Diceros bicornis minor: one gene and its partner. The protein of the gene in region 1 interacts with the protein of each later gene in a pairwise test. Links are inferred from orthologs where the notes say so. Each region holds a gene or a part of one and is shown in the gene's direction. Other genes may lie near its edges.

Region 1 (8,003 bases):
ACAAAGGACAGGATCTCTGTGAAAACGAAGTCGAGATGGAATGCTGCGAAATGCCAAGCTGACTGCAATTCAGGTCTTCTCAACATGCTGGTGGGAAACTTCAACCAGCCCACAACACTACTACCTGGCACCTTCCTTCCAACAGGTTATTATTGACCCTCAACATCCCCAGGGAAAAACAAAAGGCTTAAAATTGCTAATTTCATATAATGGGATAATTAAGTCCCCCCAAAAGTTGTGATTAAAAAAAAAGTTCCTGATACATAAGCCATGAACATATTAAGATCAGTGTAAGATGAGGGACCCTGAGCCACATTCATAAAGTAACTTGGGCTTAGAATAAACCTGCATGGTCAGCACTGACTCAAAACCAGAGTGAGAAGACAAGAAATGGTGACTCCAAGCCTATTTCCTGAAAAGGAAGCAAAGGGGATACTGAACCCTCAGTGTCATTCCCTTAAGTTCTCAATAGCTGGGATCTAAAATGTTACATCAGGAACATATTCTCTGGCTACAACCCACGCTGACCACAAACAAGCATGCAATTTAAAAGGCAGTGAGAATTTACAACTTTCTTCACATAGGATTAACAGGTTTGGGACATCTGAAGTGGCCCAGAGAAATCACAATTGCTCAGTCTTGGCTCTTTAGCTTATATTGCTTTAGAGAGAGCAGCTAAGCTTCAGATAGAGGATGCCCATAATTCAACCAAGGTGACTAACAATGGTTCCTCCCTACTAAGTAGGCTGAGGCAGGTGTGTGTTTTAATCATCCTGATTCATTCAACCCAGGCTAAGAAATAGGTATGCCTTAACTTAAGGCCTGACAACTGGTTCACTAGTGATTTTAAAAAGTTTTGAAATTTGTCCACCTTTAAGTCTATATTTTGGCTTAAGTTAAGCTTTTAAGTCATTTGTCTCCGGGTAAGACAGTAAACCCCACCACCTGAATTAAGTCTTCATTTAGGGCCCTGGATTTCCTTGCCTGGGCATGGAGAGGTCAGTGACTCCATTCTTCAGACAATGGGACTTCATGGCCTCTAAACTCTTCCGTAAGTTTTCATAAGTTGGTTTGTGTGAAGCCCTTTTCTTTGTAATCTGAGTACAAAGAACAAATTCAAACTTCTGTTAATCCAAAATGATAGCCAAAGAAAAACCATCACATTCTCCCAACATCCTGATAATTAAGTATATTTTTATAGAATAGTCTAGAGCAAGGATGACAAATGTCATAGACTGTCCCTTCCAGTTATGTGAGGCCCTCAGGAAAATCCACTAAATAGGGCCTGAGAAACCCAGACACTGCCATGTAATACTCTTTCCTTCTCCCAATAAGCCCAGGAGATTAGCAGGCTATGCCTATTGTCTAGTGTTTTTAAGCAAGGTAGGTGCAAGCCTTTGTGCCACTTCCAAGAGAGAAGCTGCATATCTGTAAGAACCCATACCACCTGAAAATTTCCTGTTAAGTCTATTTATTTAGAAACTGTGCTTGCTTGCTTTTTGTTTCTCTATAAGAGAACAGAGAAACTGGTAGCATTCCAAACCAGAAGTCCCATCGGCCTTAAAGACAGCATTCAAAGGGGCTAGGACATGTCCCCACTCAGCCTGCTATCCAAATCAGGCTTATAGTGAACTGGCTGTATGTCACCCAGCACCATCACCAAGAAACCACACTCTTTCTGGGGCTGAAGACCACTTGGACAGTGGAAAAATCCCATTGAGGCAGCAGGTGGGAAAGGAGCTGAGTATTACCTGGATTTGATAGGGAAGAATGAGAGAGAAACCTCCTTGGACAATCTGTCTCTTGAGACACTACTGTTTCTCTCTCACCATGATTAGGAAGGAATTAAGTACGGAAGGCATCCCTAACTTCTGCAAGTCTTAGAACCCAGGCCTTTGGCGGATGTCACGGTACTCTTTCCATGGAGCTGGGATGCAGCCTCATGTTCTTTCTAATCCAGTGCTCCAAACAGCCACCACCACTGGATCGAGATCAGAAGCTTTTGACATCCTTGGCTCGTCTAGACTGGAACATCACGATCAACACAATTGCAGTACAGCCCATTTGTTCACCAATCCTTAGAGCGTACTGAGAATCAGCCCCGTCTTACCAAGTAATATATATATCGCCCATCTCTCTTCAGCACAGCCACTTCTCCAGATTTCTTTTCTAAGAAAAACAGGTATTTAATAGCAGAAAGAAAAAAGAAAACCAAAACACTGATCTCCACTCTTAGATTTTTAAAAAATCTTTACAAATCTGAGTTTACCTCAGGAGAAATAATTTTCAACTCTGAAGAAACCTGCTGTCTCCTACGAACATTTTGCTCCTTATCGCCTTCCTAAATACTATATTCGTTAACTTCCAGCTTTCTTAATCGTTTTCCTCTCACCCCATCTTTTCTCCTGCCCCTATTTTCAAATACATCCTTATTTCTTCACTAAAGAAACTTTTATGTCTACTGCTTTGAAATGTTTTAGAATGTACAGCATTTTTTACTTGCCAAATGTGTATTCATTCAATAATCATCTTTTTTACATACAAAAAGCTAACACGTTAAGCATTATGGGGAAACAGAGGTATAAAAGAGTTCCTAATTAAACAGTTTTCAATCAAGAGTAGGTGTCATGTTTACAAATAACTACAATACAAAGCAGTAAGAAATTGCTCTTTTAAAGGCTGGGGTCAGAATCATCAGTGGAAACTGACTCCGTAAGCCTGGACTGTGGTCTGAGCAACTGTTTCAGAAGCTCCACAAGTGATGTGAATACACATCTCCGGTTTAAAACCATTGGTAGAAAAGTGATGGGAGGGTGTGTATAGGAAGAGGAGGTTTCTAAACTCCTCTTGGAAGAATAAGTACAATGTGGATGAAGAGAGAATCTTGAATGCCAAGCTAACACCTGTGGACTTTGCTAAGCACTTCAGAGTTATTAAAGGTTTCAGAGAAGTGGAGTAATATTATCAAGAAAGTTTTATGACAGAGGAGGAAGAGATTAGAAACTTTTACAATTCAGATTTGATGTGATAAGGACTCAGACTAGAGGCCATTTCTGTAGAGGAAACAATCTGAAGAGTTAAAAGTACTCAGCGATTAGGAACTCCCTCTTTGCATGTATATTTTGTTTAATAATTAAAGTATAACAGGAGGTCAAGAGATGCTCTAGCTAGGGCAGCAGACTTAAGCTGTTTTCAAAACTCACGTTGATTTATCAGTTCCTGCACTCCTCCAAATTTCTTCTTGAAGAGGACAGCTATCCCAGCACCCATTCGACAATCCTCACTGATACAGTGCGCTAAAGAGTCTGTTTTGGGGCATGCAAAGAGGTCTCCTTTCACATAAGTGATCTAAAACGTGCAAAAGGAAAGAAAATGTTTTATTAGATTCAAAAAAATATTAAGCTATTTCTCTCATTTTCCTTTACTGTGTCCCCCACTCCCTCTCCTCCCCTGCCCCTCCTTGATTTAAAGCCAAATCCTCAGAATTTAATTTAAGGAGTTAACGACCACGAATTAAAGCACGTGTAAAAGGCAAGAGCTGGATGGTCTCTGCCTAGCACTGTATTAGCCTTTCAGAAGTAAATCAGCTGGAAAGAGAAAAAAAAAAGGCAATTCAATTATTGCTTTAATTAAAAAGTGTTTATGCATTTGACCTCAATCTTTCTGAACTTCAGTTCAGCAATAAGTTAATAGTTGTTACGCACTCTGCTTCCTTCAGGATCTTCATTAGGGCTGCCGGCCATGATACTGAGTGGCTATTTCCAGAATGTGTTTCTTCAGCTATGAGAAGGAAAAGGAAGCTAGGATGCTTAGGCAGCCTGAACATATTATACATTCAGATTGCCCCGACCACGCACTTAATAATTTTCCCCCCCAACGTTTATCGCTGAATTTGAGTGCGTTCGGCCTCTAGAAAGTAACACAAAACTCTCTGGTGCAAGCAGCAGCAGCCTGCCTCCCGAGCCACGCCTCCTCCCTTCTCCCGCCCGAGCCAGGCGGGTTTAGGACAATCTCCTTTTTCCTGCACCGCGCACAAGCATTTCCCCAGTGGATCTGGCCTAGAAGCAAAAAGGAATGACCTGGCCACAGTCCCCTTAAGCCGCAACGAGGGAGTGCACCGGCCGGGGGGAGTGTCCCGCCGAGCCGCAAGCAGGGGACGGGGAAGGCTCACCTCCTCTTTTTTTGGGGGGAAGGAGTCTAGAGAACCTCCCCTTTTCCTACCCCAAGGCGGGTCAGCGAGGGCGTGGGGCCTGTCCTGGAGTCCCGCGGGAGGGAGCGAGGAGGCTCGCCCAGAGTCCCAACGTCCCGCGATTACCCTTCACCTGAAAAGGAGGCGGCCGTTAGGAGTCCCGCCCCGCGGGGAAGGGCTCCGGATCCGGCCCTGGTAGGTGGGGAGCGGGGGACGAGCCCAGACGCGGGACCAATCCCGCCACAGCCTTTAATTGCGCGCGCCTAAGATGGCCGCCCAACCCCGGGAGCGGGGCGGAAACGAGCCCCTCTAGCTAACTAGCCGAACCTCCACTCTTTGGTCGTGGCCGCCGAACTTCCGGCGGTAAATTCCGCGGAGTCTCCCGCCGCCGCCCGGGCATGCGTAACGACACAGCCCACCGCGAACGGGGCAGAACGGCGCTTGCGCATTAGCCCCAGGGGTGTGTCTCCAGTGGCCGCATAGAAGGGGGAGGGCAGTTGGCACAGGAGCTAGTTAGCGCCTGCGTAGTACTATGTTCAGGGCGGTGTTTGAGTCGAAGGGTCTGGCGCTTCCAGAAGGCGCCTGCGTAATCCTTCGGCGGGGGGGTGGTGTCAAATCGGGGAAGTGGGCGTGGCCGCAGGGGACGCCTGCGCAATGCTCCTTCAGGTGGGGGTGGGGCGAGCCCCGAGCAGAGGCTAGTGGGCGTGGTCTCAGAGGCGCCTGCGCGGAGGCGGTTGGAGGGAGGCCCGATTCCCCTTTGTTCGGGTTCGCCATTTTGCGAGGCAGCGGCAGTGGCGGCGGCAGCGGCGGCTGGAGCCTCTGATTGGGTTTCGGGGTCCGGTACTGGAGCCAATCAGCGCGGGCAGCGAACCGGGGGAGCGAAGCACGGTGAGCGTGAGGAGCCAATATCCAGCGGCCCAGAGCCGGCCCCAGCGCCCCGATTGGCGGGTCTCGCTGACCACTCAGGAGAGGCCCAGGCTCCCGTCGAGCCCGGGGAGTCGAGCTGAGCCTCGCCGAGCCGGGCGGCTGGCGGTGCGGCCCCGGAGCCTGCGAGCGCCCCGGGGCACTCCCGGCCGAGGCCTGCAGGGGGCCGCCCCGTGCGGGCATGGCGCCCTCGGGAGCCGGCACCTCGGGGTCCAGACCCCGGCGGGGTGCTGGTGCCGGTTGGGGATGCGTCCTCGTCCCCCGAGACTTAGGCCCAGGGTCTCAGACCCCAGGCTCGGAGTGGTGGGCTTGCCTGCCACGGATGCTCCTCCGCTCCGGCGCACACACGTGCCCGGGGCCTCGGCCGTTTCCTGCCGGTCGGTCGGGCCTCACACTTAAGCCTGCCCTTGCATCTTCCACGCTCCGGTCCTCGGGCCGGGCAGTCCTCCCCGCGGGGCCCGCGTCCCCAGCCCTCCGTGAGCCGCGTCTGCCGTTTGCAGCCCTCTGGGGTCGGGAGGGGGCCCTGGGTAGGACGCACGCGGCGGCCACAGGGCCCCGGGTGCGGCGGGAGAGGGGGCGGGCCCCCCCCGGCGCCCCGCGGGCCCTCCCCGCCGTCTCCCCGGCCGGGGAGGGGTCCGTTAGTGCGCCCACTCCCCTGCCCCGCCGCCCCTCCCGCACGCTCGGCCCGGGTCTTCGGCCCCGCGCCGTTACCACCCCCTTTTGGCTCGTCATTTCCTCTCCTCCCCGCCCCGCTCCCGGGGCAGCACCGCACACCTCCGGCTTGGAGTCCAACCAAGCGGTCTCCGTTTCTCGGCTGGGCTGTAAGGCCAGTCCATTCGGTGCTTGGAACCTCATCGTAGAAGACTGTTAGCCCTGCTCATTCCTTTTCCCGAAGGCTGCACAACCTGCTTTTCATACTAGTGTTACCCACTGCTCGTCTTGTGAACTCTCCCGTCCTTGGGAATGTACAGTTTTTTTCTTTCACCTTTGTGTCGCTTTGAATGTGTAAGGCTTGTCTCTTAGCTCAGTTCATAGCCATGTCTTGGTTTACTTTTTTTCTAATATACTTTCTAATCCCGTGTTAACGTTTTCTTAGCAGATGTTTATAGAAACTTAGTGTTGTGGGGTTTTCGTTAGGGTGGAAGGGACTCTCCATTGACAACCACGTCTCCAGCAGTTAGTATCCAGCGGGCATAGATCTGTGTCCTGGGGAGCAAGTAGGTAGAGGGAAATAAGAACCTTTTCCGCCTGGTGGAGATTGACAGGTGAACAGCTGATTAGTACCTAACGGCTGGTGCTGTAACGGGGCCAAGTTGAGTTCAGTGAAGGACTGATGTGTGAGCTACCAACAGCCTCCGTGGAAGGCTCAACATCGCCACACTTTCGATTGGCCATGAAGGACGATAGTATTTTTTCGGACAGGAAAGAATGGAAGAGCGTTGCTCACAAAGAAAAGAGCAAATTGTGCCGTGCGTTTGAGGCGAAGATAGGATAGGGCAGTGGGCAATGCTGGTGCGAGTTGAGACTGGAAAGCCGAGTTAGTACGAGCATTTGTATATCTTGATGAGGAATTTTGCGGAAGCAGTTATTTTGTGGAGGTTCAGATAGAAGAAATCTAGAAGTATGTTTTTTTCTAAGATTGGAAAAACAAGTTTCTGATTTGTGGGGTTCTGCCCGGTAACAGCAGCTGACTTCTTTGGGGGAAGAGAGGGAGATTTTTCTCCTAGGCCTTGAAAAGTTTTGACTCCTTTGAAGCACCTAGTGCAGTCGCTGGCACACAGAGTAGGTCTTCAGTATATGGTGCCCATTTTTATAATCACGTTTACTAAGATCATACAACTGGTAGGTTTCAGAAAACAACTAGTCCAGTGCTCTCTCTACTTGTCAAACTTTGGAAACAGTTTTTGTTTTCACTTTTTAGAATGTTTTTCATTGTTTAAATCGTTTTCTTAAATTCATTTAATTCTCGCTACATTATCCATATTAAAGGAGAAGCATGTCTTAGATAATTTTTAGAACACTTAGATTTGCCTTTGGAATAGATATTTTAACGTTGGTATTCAAAAACAGGTATATCTGGTCACTTGACAACCATCCAACACTTTCACTAGACTTCTTTCTAGAAGGCAGTTATAGTCTGGTCACTTTTTTGCTGAACACCTCTAGGGCCTCCACCTGTCTGCAAGAAGAACTTCTTTGCCTGGAATTTTGAGAACAGTGGTCTAGCCGCCAGCCTTCTCTTGACATGGGGCCTTTTAGTCTACTGTTCTATGCTGAAATTTTTCTGTCCTTGTTTTTATGCTCTCTCTTCGTTTGGAGTACTCTGCCCCCTCCCACATCATCATATAGTATAAATCCTCCTCACACTTAAGACCAGGTCAGATGTCACGTTTTCCTAAAGCTTTTCTTGATTTTTCTATTCCCAGCAGGAAGAAATCTCTGTCCTCACAGAGAAATCTCTGTTCTCCAAAATCCCGTATTACCTTCTTCCTCTTTTAGGGTTCTAGTACATTTTTACCCCTTCACTAAACTTAAAGACTCTTTGAAGTTAGAATCTTTGTCAGAGTTTTCTTTTTATTTCTGAAACCTTCAGGACAGTGTCTGGCACATCATTAGTGGAGAGGAGGAGCAAATTAGGAACTCCAATCCAGAAACCTCAGACAGTGCAGAAGCTGGACACGCTGTGTTCTCTAATCTTTTATCAAACAGATCAGGACCCATTGGTTGCATTGTGAAATCAATTTAGTGGGCCAATGCTGATATTTTTTTGTAATAAAATAGAAAATATCAAAGTGCATCTTATGTTACATAAAGATAAGTATTCGTGAAACGTTTGTTTCAGTTACTTTTTTTATATGTTGTGTGTGCAGTGATTTGTGATACGAAATGT
Region 2 (7,500 bases), on another chromosome or scaffold:
ACTATGTTTAAATAAGTCTAGCTTCTATTCCCGTCTTCTTCACACTGTTTTCTCATTGTCCTTAAAAATAACCCTTTTGAAAAAAAAAATTGTTTTATTTTTCCTTTTTTTTTAATGGAAGCAAGTGTTTACACATTTTTATAGTTCCCATTTTCTTAAACAGTAGCATACAAAGAAAACTTTTCTCTACTTTGCTTTTGTCACGTAACACTACATTTTGAAGATCCTTCCATAGTGGTATATAGAGATAGTCCTCATTCCTTGTTACAGCTGCATTGTATTCCATGTACATAAGCACCATAATTTATCTAACCAATCTCCTTATACGCACATGTGGGGGTATTTCCATTCTTTTAGTGTTACAAGAAGTCCCATAATGAATAGTCCTGAGCATACATCTTTTCATATTTTTGCCACTACAGTCATGTGCCGCATAAGGTCGGTTTGATGAAAAATGGGCCGCATATATATGGTGGTCCCATAAGGTTAGTCCCATATAGCCTAGGTGTGTAGTAGGCTATGTCATCTAGGTGTGTGTAAGCACACCCTATGCTGTTTGCACAACAAAATTGCCCAACTAGGCATTTCTCAGAATGTATCCTCATTGTTAAGCAACACATGAGTGTTCTAGGCACAGAGTCCTAGAACTGGTATTGCTGGGTCAATGGCAAATTCATATGTAATTTTGCTAGATATAATCAGGCACATGTGTAACTAAGCAACTTGATGAACTGCAACCGATAAATCAGCATTCAGCTAAGGTGTCTGTATCTCATGATAGCATATAATTACTGTATTTACATACAAAAAGTGGTATACTCATCACTTGAGGTATCAAAATTTGGCCAAAGTTCTTATGGATAAACTAATCATCAATGATTAACAGCATTATTAAAATCTAATGGTAGTGTTCTACAAAGTGAGTTAAAAAGACCTTTCCCCCATTTTGATGTTGTTGATGTAGCTGTTATACACTTACCATAAATAATAAAAACATCCACCAAATACTTATTAAAGCATTTTCTAGTAGCTTTGATCTTCCCAACAATCATATGCAGTGGTTTTTATTCCATCTTATCAACACAGAGAGATTTAGTTACTGCAGAAGGTCACACAGTAAAGTAATGGCAGAGTCAAGCCTGATTCCACAAAGACTGCACTCTGTACACACTAAGTTAATTTGTTTTTGCTAACAAACTCGCTTTTATTTTGGTATACAGAAAATAATTGCAAGTTAGTTGCTGTTTTAAGACATGCAGTAGCAATTTCAAACTATAAGTTAGAAGAGAGGAAGAGAACATTAAAGATTTTTAAAAATCTCCTCCTCATATATATAGAGGTAATTTGTGTGATCAGCAATTTCTTCCTACATATTGCATCAAAAATTACTGCGTGTGGAAATCAACAGTTTTTTTGTAAAGGCCTAAAAATTAACTGAAATCTGAATAGAGCATAATTTTTTTGGTAGGACTGAAATACATCAGTGCTTTTATTATCTTGAATGAATGCTGTAATTATGCACCACTTTACAATAGAAACCTTCATTAGGATTAGTAAGCTTGAGATATAAGATCTTTCCTCTTTACTTTTGTATCCTCCTAAAGTGTCCAATACTATTGAGCATATAAGGGCTGCAAGATCCTTAAATATGCCAGATAATTTGCCTGATTTATTCATTTTACTATTTAAGAACATGGAGGCTGAAGGGAAGTCATATGAGAGTTTAGTTTAAGCTAATTTCCAGAGCAGTCAGTCTTTTTAGATTTTCTTTTTTCTTGGCATTGTTGCTTAAATAGTCATTTGGACAATAAAACATTTAAATGTTTGGACATATAAGGTTTGATGTCATTTTGTTTATGGTAATATTAAAATTTATCCATTGAATTTTTCCTTTTCTTCTTTTGCTTGGCAATTATCCAGTGTTTTGGCAGAATATTAATATTAAAAGAAAGAAGTAACTCTTATTCTCCAATATAAAACATTTTGAAGTAAAAAAAAAAAGATTCATCACAAAGAGAACACTATTATGTATCTGTCTAAGTATACGGCTGTTACAAAGTATGAGTTCACAAACTAAAATTCCAGTATAAACGTTTCCTATATGGTATAAAGAGCCGCTAAAATTAGAAAAGTTCTTTAAGCTTTAGGGCACAAAGAAGAAAAAGTTCAGATAAAAACAATTTAAATATGTTGCTAAATTCAGTCTTACATGGGAGGAGTTTTCTGTTCACAAATTTTCACTTTTGTGAACCAAAGAGCTGTAGCCTCCAAACTATTCAGACCCACTCTTCTGGTGCAAGATCAGAGAATATCTCTTTCTGAAACTAAACTGGTTGGCACACGTATATTGTGATTGACAGCATATTATAGCTAACTGAAGGTTGGAAAACAATAAATTGGAATGGAATCCATGATACTTAGATGCCAGGCATACGGGGGGGGGGGGGGGGGGGGATCTGGGTAAATATTAACCAAGTGTTTAGGCATTGTTGCAATTTAGTGTGTAAAGAGAGAAGTGGACTCAGAGGAGCCTCCTGGGAGTCCGAAGGTCTTAAGGAGCCAGGACTGGGTTTTCTGCCTTTTTAATGCAGTAACTATATCCTATTGTTTCAAAGGTCAGACCCAATCAGGGCATATCTGTCATCAACCCCCTTAGGAATAATTGTGTGGAGAACAAATCTCATAGATTCTTTGCCATGTCCTGTCTGCAGTAGTCTTAATTTTAACGGATAGCAAAACATTTGATCATTTAGTTAAGAATACCCAGTGGTAAGGAAGAAAATAAGGTGGAAGGTGAGGGATTCCACGTGCACACAGTACATACAGGAGGTAACAAGAAGTCTTCTTAAAATAACAAGCAGTGAAATTTACCAGGAATGGTATTGTTTAGTAAAATTTTTCAGGCTCATAGTCACCTGAATATTAAATGAATTACAAATGTGGATGGAATCATAATGTTATATATCAAGAACACTATGATTTCCTGCGAATTTTTTTTTTCTTAAGTGCCCCCAAACAGGCAGCTGTGCAGGGAACTAAGAAGCGAGTGTTAAGAGGATGTTGTTCGATCAGATGGTGTTAAAAGAAATCTCAAGATTAACAGATATTTTCTATACCCATTCACAAACTATCCACAACTTCCCATTTTCTGAGTATTAACGGCCTGCTTTCATTAATCTCTTCCTTCAAGTCCTGGCGGATTGCACCTTTTCCTCTCTCTGGTAGGACGCCTTTGATATTCTTCACATCTGGTTTCAGTGGCATAGAACTTTTGACGTTTTGTTTTGCTTTGCCTTTTAGGATAAACTCCCTCACTTGTCCAGACCACCCATTCCATGTCTCTTGAAATTCCTAGGGACAAGAAAATTAGGTACTGTGACTTCTGCCTTCTAAACAGAGCATTCTCTGTTCTGCGTGAAATGTTGATATAAAGGCGGGATTTGGTGGAGCAGAGCAGGTCAAACGCCTATAGAATTGCACTCCAAGACCTGGACAGTTTCTGCCCGCTCTCTGGCAGCGAGGAGCCGTGTGAGTTGGTTGGCCAAGGTCAAGTATTTCAGATGTTAGTCACTACATGCTGGCTATGTGGAGACACAGAATTTTGGCAGTAGGTTAAAAAAACAGGGAAGGTTATCATGCTGTCATAACCCTGTGGTCGGTGTTTCGTTTTGCTTTTTTTGGCATTTCCACTACTATCAGAAATCATTTAAGTACGTGGGCTGGTAGGGGCCGAACCTTTGGGGAACTTAAATCCAAAGACTTTGTAGCTGTACTTGAGACAAACAACTCAGCCGGTTTTAGGGGTTATTAATTCTGGAATGTGTTAACAGTAGGCCCAAATCAGCATTCATCCCCTTTAGGAACACGTACACAACTTTGCAAGCGAAAGGCCAACCCTCGGCGGAAGGCGCGAACGCCTCAAAGCTCTCAGTCTAAGCCGAGATCACGCTCTGACGTGACTCCGCGTTTAAAACTCTGCCCTGAGTCCAAGCGCGCCAGGGGCCGGAAGCTGGTCCACGTGACTGGTCCTCCTCCGCGGCCATTCCTAACGAGGCAGCCCCCACCGCCCCTTCCACATTTCCTAGCTCCTCCAGCGTGGGACGGCGCAACAACGCCTGAGAGGAGGCGGTCCCAGCAAGCTTTGGACTCGAGTATCACCAAAACTCACGCCTTTCCCGGCAGTGGTTTGCAAGCTCCTCACCCCAAACGAGCCGCCGAACTTCCGCCTGCGTGCCAACCACGTGATCACGCGAGACTTGGGGAGGCAGCGGTCCGACTTCAGTACACCAGACCCCGGGCTCCGCCTGCCCAGCACCCTCCACGGCGCGTGACGACGCGACTCGCGGCGGCCACCGCCCCGGCGCGCCTGCGCACGCGGCTCTCGCGGTGTCTCGCGCTGAGCCCCGCCCACCTGTGCCCCCGCCCTTTCCGCCCCTCCCTCCCCCTCCGCCCTGTCTCTCGGCGGCAGCGGCGGCGGCGGTGGCTCGCGCAGCTCGTTGGCTCGCTATATAAAGGGGAGAAGCGGGCGGACCGGACGGCTGGAGCTGCAGCCGGTGGCGGCAGCGGCGGCGCGGGGAGCGGCGACCGGTGGTGGTTCCCTCCTGGGCGCGGGGTGGGGAGCGGGCAACGCCCCCCGGACCCCCCAAAGGGTCGTGGTTTTTTTTTTTTAAGGGCGATTCTCGAGGTTTTTAGCTCCGGGAGGACTGCCCCCCTCCTCCACCTCCCCCTCTCCTCTCACCGCTCCCCTCTACTCCTTCAGGATCCGATTTTGTTGAAAAATTTTTCCCCCCCATCTTGCGGTGGCTTGGGTCACCCTCTGGGTGTTTCGGTTTTTTCTTTTTCTTTTTTTTGGTTTTGTTTTTCTCTTGTTTTCTCGGGGTTGCTCCCCTCTTGTTTGTGTTGTGTGTGGAAATGGCGAACTCGGCAAATACAAACACCGTGGTAAGGACGTGGTGCGGTGGCCGGCGGGGGCTTCGTCCAGGCGGCAGCAACGGCCGGACCGGGCGGGGGCGGGGACGGCGGCGACTCCCGGCCTCGACTCTCCTCAGCCGCCCGCGCGGCCACCGCCGCCGCCGCTTCCCGCCTCGGGCGGAGCGGGCCGGGGCGCCGGGCGGCGGGCGCGGGGGGGCGCCGAGGGCTCGCGGCGGCGGCGGCGGCGGCGGCGGGAGGGCGGGGGTGCCGGCGGGGCCTGGGGCCGCGGAGGCGGTTGGGCCGGGGCGAGTGCGCGGCCCCGGCCCCAGACCCCGGCCGCCGGGGGGGAGGGCGGGAGGGGAGCCGCCGCTGCCCCCGAAGTGGGCCCGGCCGCGCCGGCTCGAGAAGGGCTCCCCGAGCCGCCTCCAAACAAAAACCGGGTCTGGGGAATTGGGCGAATCCCCAAGACCCACCGCGATCCACTTTCCTGCAGTGGAACGTTGATGGCTACTTCGGGGGGGAACTTGGGGTGTTTCTGGCTGTTGTGCTTAGGGAGCCTTCGCTGGGGCCATTTTATGTTTTTTTTTTTTTTAAAAAAGGACGAAGGTTGAAAAGCACTTATCTCGGTTCCTTCCGAATCGGTAAAATGGCGAAGGGGAAGCAAAACCCCCATCGTATCTTCGACTAGCAAAAGCACCAAAACAAACAAAAAAAAGCCTACAGTGGTCAAAGTGCCCCCGCTTTCGCCTTGCAATTTGCCTACTTCTCCCCGTTCGTCCCTTTTTGGTTACTTGCGATCACGTAGGTTTGCAAAAAGCAGTCACATAAAGAACCTTTTCAGTCACCAACGCAATGTGATCACTCGTCCACCCCACTCTCTTATTTTTATTGTGACAATAAAACACGTTTTTGCCCGGTCCCAAATGCCGCAGACCTGCCCGCGGCCGCCCGACTCCGTACCGTTGGCGACTCGGGTCGATCCATCATGGCTGCGGCCGCTTACCCGGCTTTTCAGTCCCTGAGCCTTGTGGTCCTCCTCCCTTTGGCTGCCCTGTTTATATAGAGCCATTGCCGCTCTCTAATATAGACTCTGCCAGGATGGGAAGGTGCTTTTCAGGCCTACGTCACCGCCTCTCCATTTAAACACCAGATCCGGCTTTAAATAGTGAGAGCTGCTGAGAGCGGGGCTGGGAGGTGCGTGCTCCCGACGCGAGAGGCAGGCGCGTGCAGAGCTCGATTTATTTCTAGGTCCTTTCCTTAGCCTGTCATGTTCGCACCCAACGGGGGCTGCTTTCAGAGCCCCAAGTTTTTGTTGTGGTGCAGCCGCTGGGATTTGCCGTCTTTGTTAGGGGAAAAGAGAATTGCTTTCCTTTTTAGTTTTATTTTTGTTTTTAGAGATAATTTTAGGTCAGATGTCTAATCGTTCTTGTATTACAAGATGCCTACATTATTGTCGGGAATGGAAAAAAAGTGCTTTCTACGTTAACTGTTAGCTGCAAAGGACTTGACTTTGGTAGTATTGTGTTCATCAAGTATTCAGGAAATGTGTTAGAATCTAGCTCCTAATATTTCATTATGTTTTCTTATAATAAATAGCGGAGACACGAAGCTGTTCAAAGAAGTAGATAAGTGCCTGAAGCTTCAACGTAGCACCTATATCCACAGTACATTTCTGTGTAGGGGAATTGTGAGTAATGAAAGTGAGGAGGCTTTAACTGCAAACTGGATTTTAAAAAATTAAAATTCTGAGCAGACAAGGTTTTTATTGAATTGGATATTAGTGTGATATCCAATAGAGAAATTAATCCAGTTTGTTTTCCAGTATTGCATGGGGGACTAACACTTTTGAAAGGAACCTTCTAATGAATCATTAGATAATGCTACTAATGGCCCTTGAAATTACCAGTTTTTAGGTTTGAAATATGTGTTTTTTGAAAACCATGACAAACCTCTTAAATGACTTTTTATTTCGTAAAAGGTAAAAACTTTGGCTCAAGGCAAGTTTAGCATTTTAAATAATAATTTGGAAATTGCGTATTTCAAATAGTGCCTGTGTACCCACATACTTCTAAAAACATCAGGATTTTAAGGGCTTTTCAACTTATGAACAATTCTCTTAAATTATTCTTTTTTTTTTTTTTTTTTTTTTTTGTGAGGCGATCAGCCCTGAGCTAACATCCGCCAATCCTCCTCTTTTTTTGCTGAGGAAGACGGCCCTGGGCTAACATCGGTGCCTATCTTCCTCCACTTTATATGGGACGCCGCCACAGCATGGCTTACCAAGCAGTGCGTCGGTGCGCGCCCGGGATCCGAACCAGCGAACCCCGGGCCGCCGCAGCGGAGCGCGCGCACTTAACCGCTTGCGCCACCGGGCCAGCCCCTTAAATTATTCTTTATGTGTATACTTCATGAAGAATACACATTTCCCTTCTTTCAACTGTAGTGCTTATGAATCCATGAAGTGCTCAAGTTTTGGGTTAATTAAGGCACAAAAGCAAAATCTTATTAAAGCAAGGTTGATACATTAAATAGGGAGTGCCAGAAGGAAAGCACATTTGTTACCTATAAATGTCTAGACCTCCAAGCAGA

What was found.
Region 2: the proteins of NFYA (region 1) and GTF2A1 interact in binary tests that used the Homo sapiens proteins (3 or more experiments, as listed by UniProt). The two-hybrid records come from large-scale screens. The link is inferred for Diceros bicornis minor from reciprocal best matches to the Homo sapiens genes NFYA and GTF2A1.

Annotation. Positions count from the first base shown.
Region 1 is NC_080753.1:24,261,619-24,269,621, reverse strand, and holds the start of NFYA (nuclear transcription factor Y subunit alpha), read left to right. Parts: upstream 1-4,987; 5' UTR 4,988-5,077; exon of another isoform or gene 5,078-5,628; intron 5,629-8,003. Other genes in the region: ADP-ribose glycohydrolase OARD1, read right to left, coding at 985-1,097, 2,111-2,169, 3,204-3,348, 3,705-3,743. UniProt on the Homo sapiens protein: Component of the sequence-specific heterotrimeric transcription factor (NF-Y) which specifically recognizes a 5'-CCAAT-3' box motif found in the promoters of its target genes.
Region 2 is NC_080763.1:28,584,999-28,592,498, reverse strand, and holds the start of GTF2A1 (transcription initiation factor IIA subunit 1), read left to right. Parts: upstream 1-4,491; 5' UTR 4,492-4,911; coding exon 4,912-4,941; intron 4,942-7,500. UniProt on the Homo sapiens protein: TFIIA is a component of the transcription machinery of RNA polymerase II and plays an important role in transcriptional activation. TFIIA in a complex with TBP mediates transcriptional activity.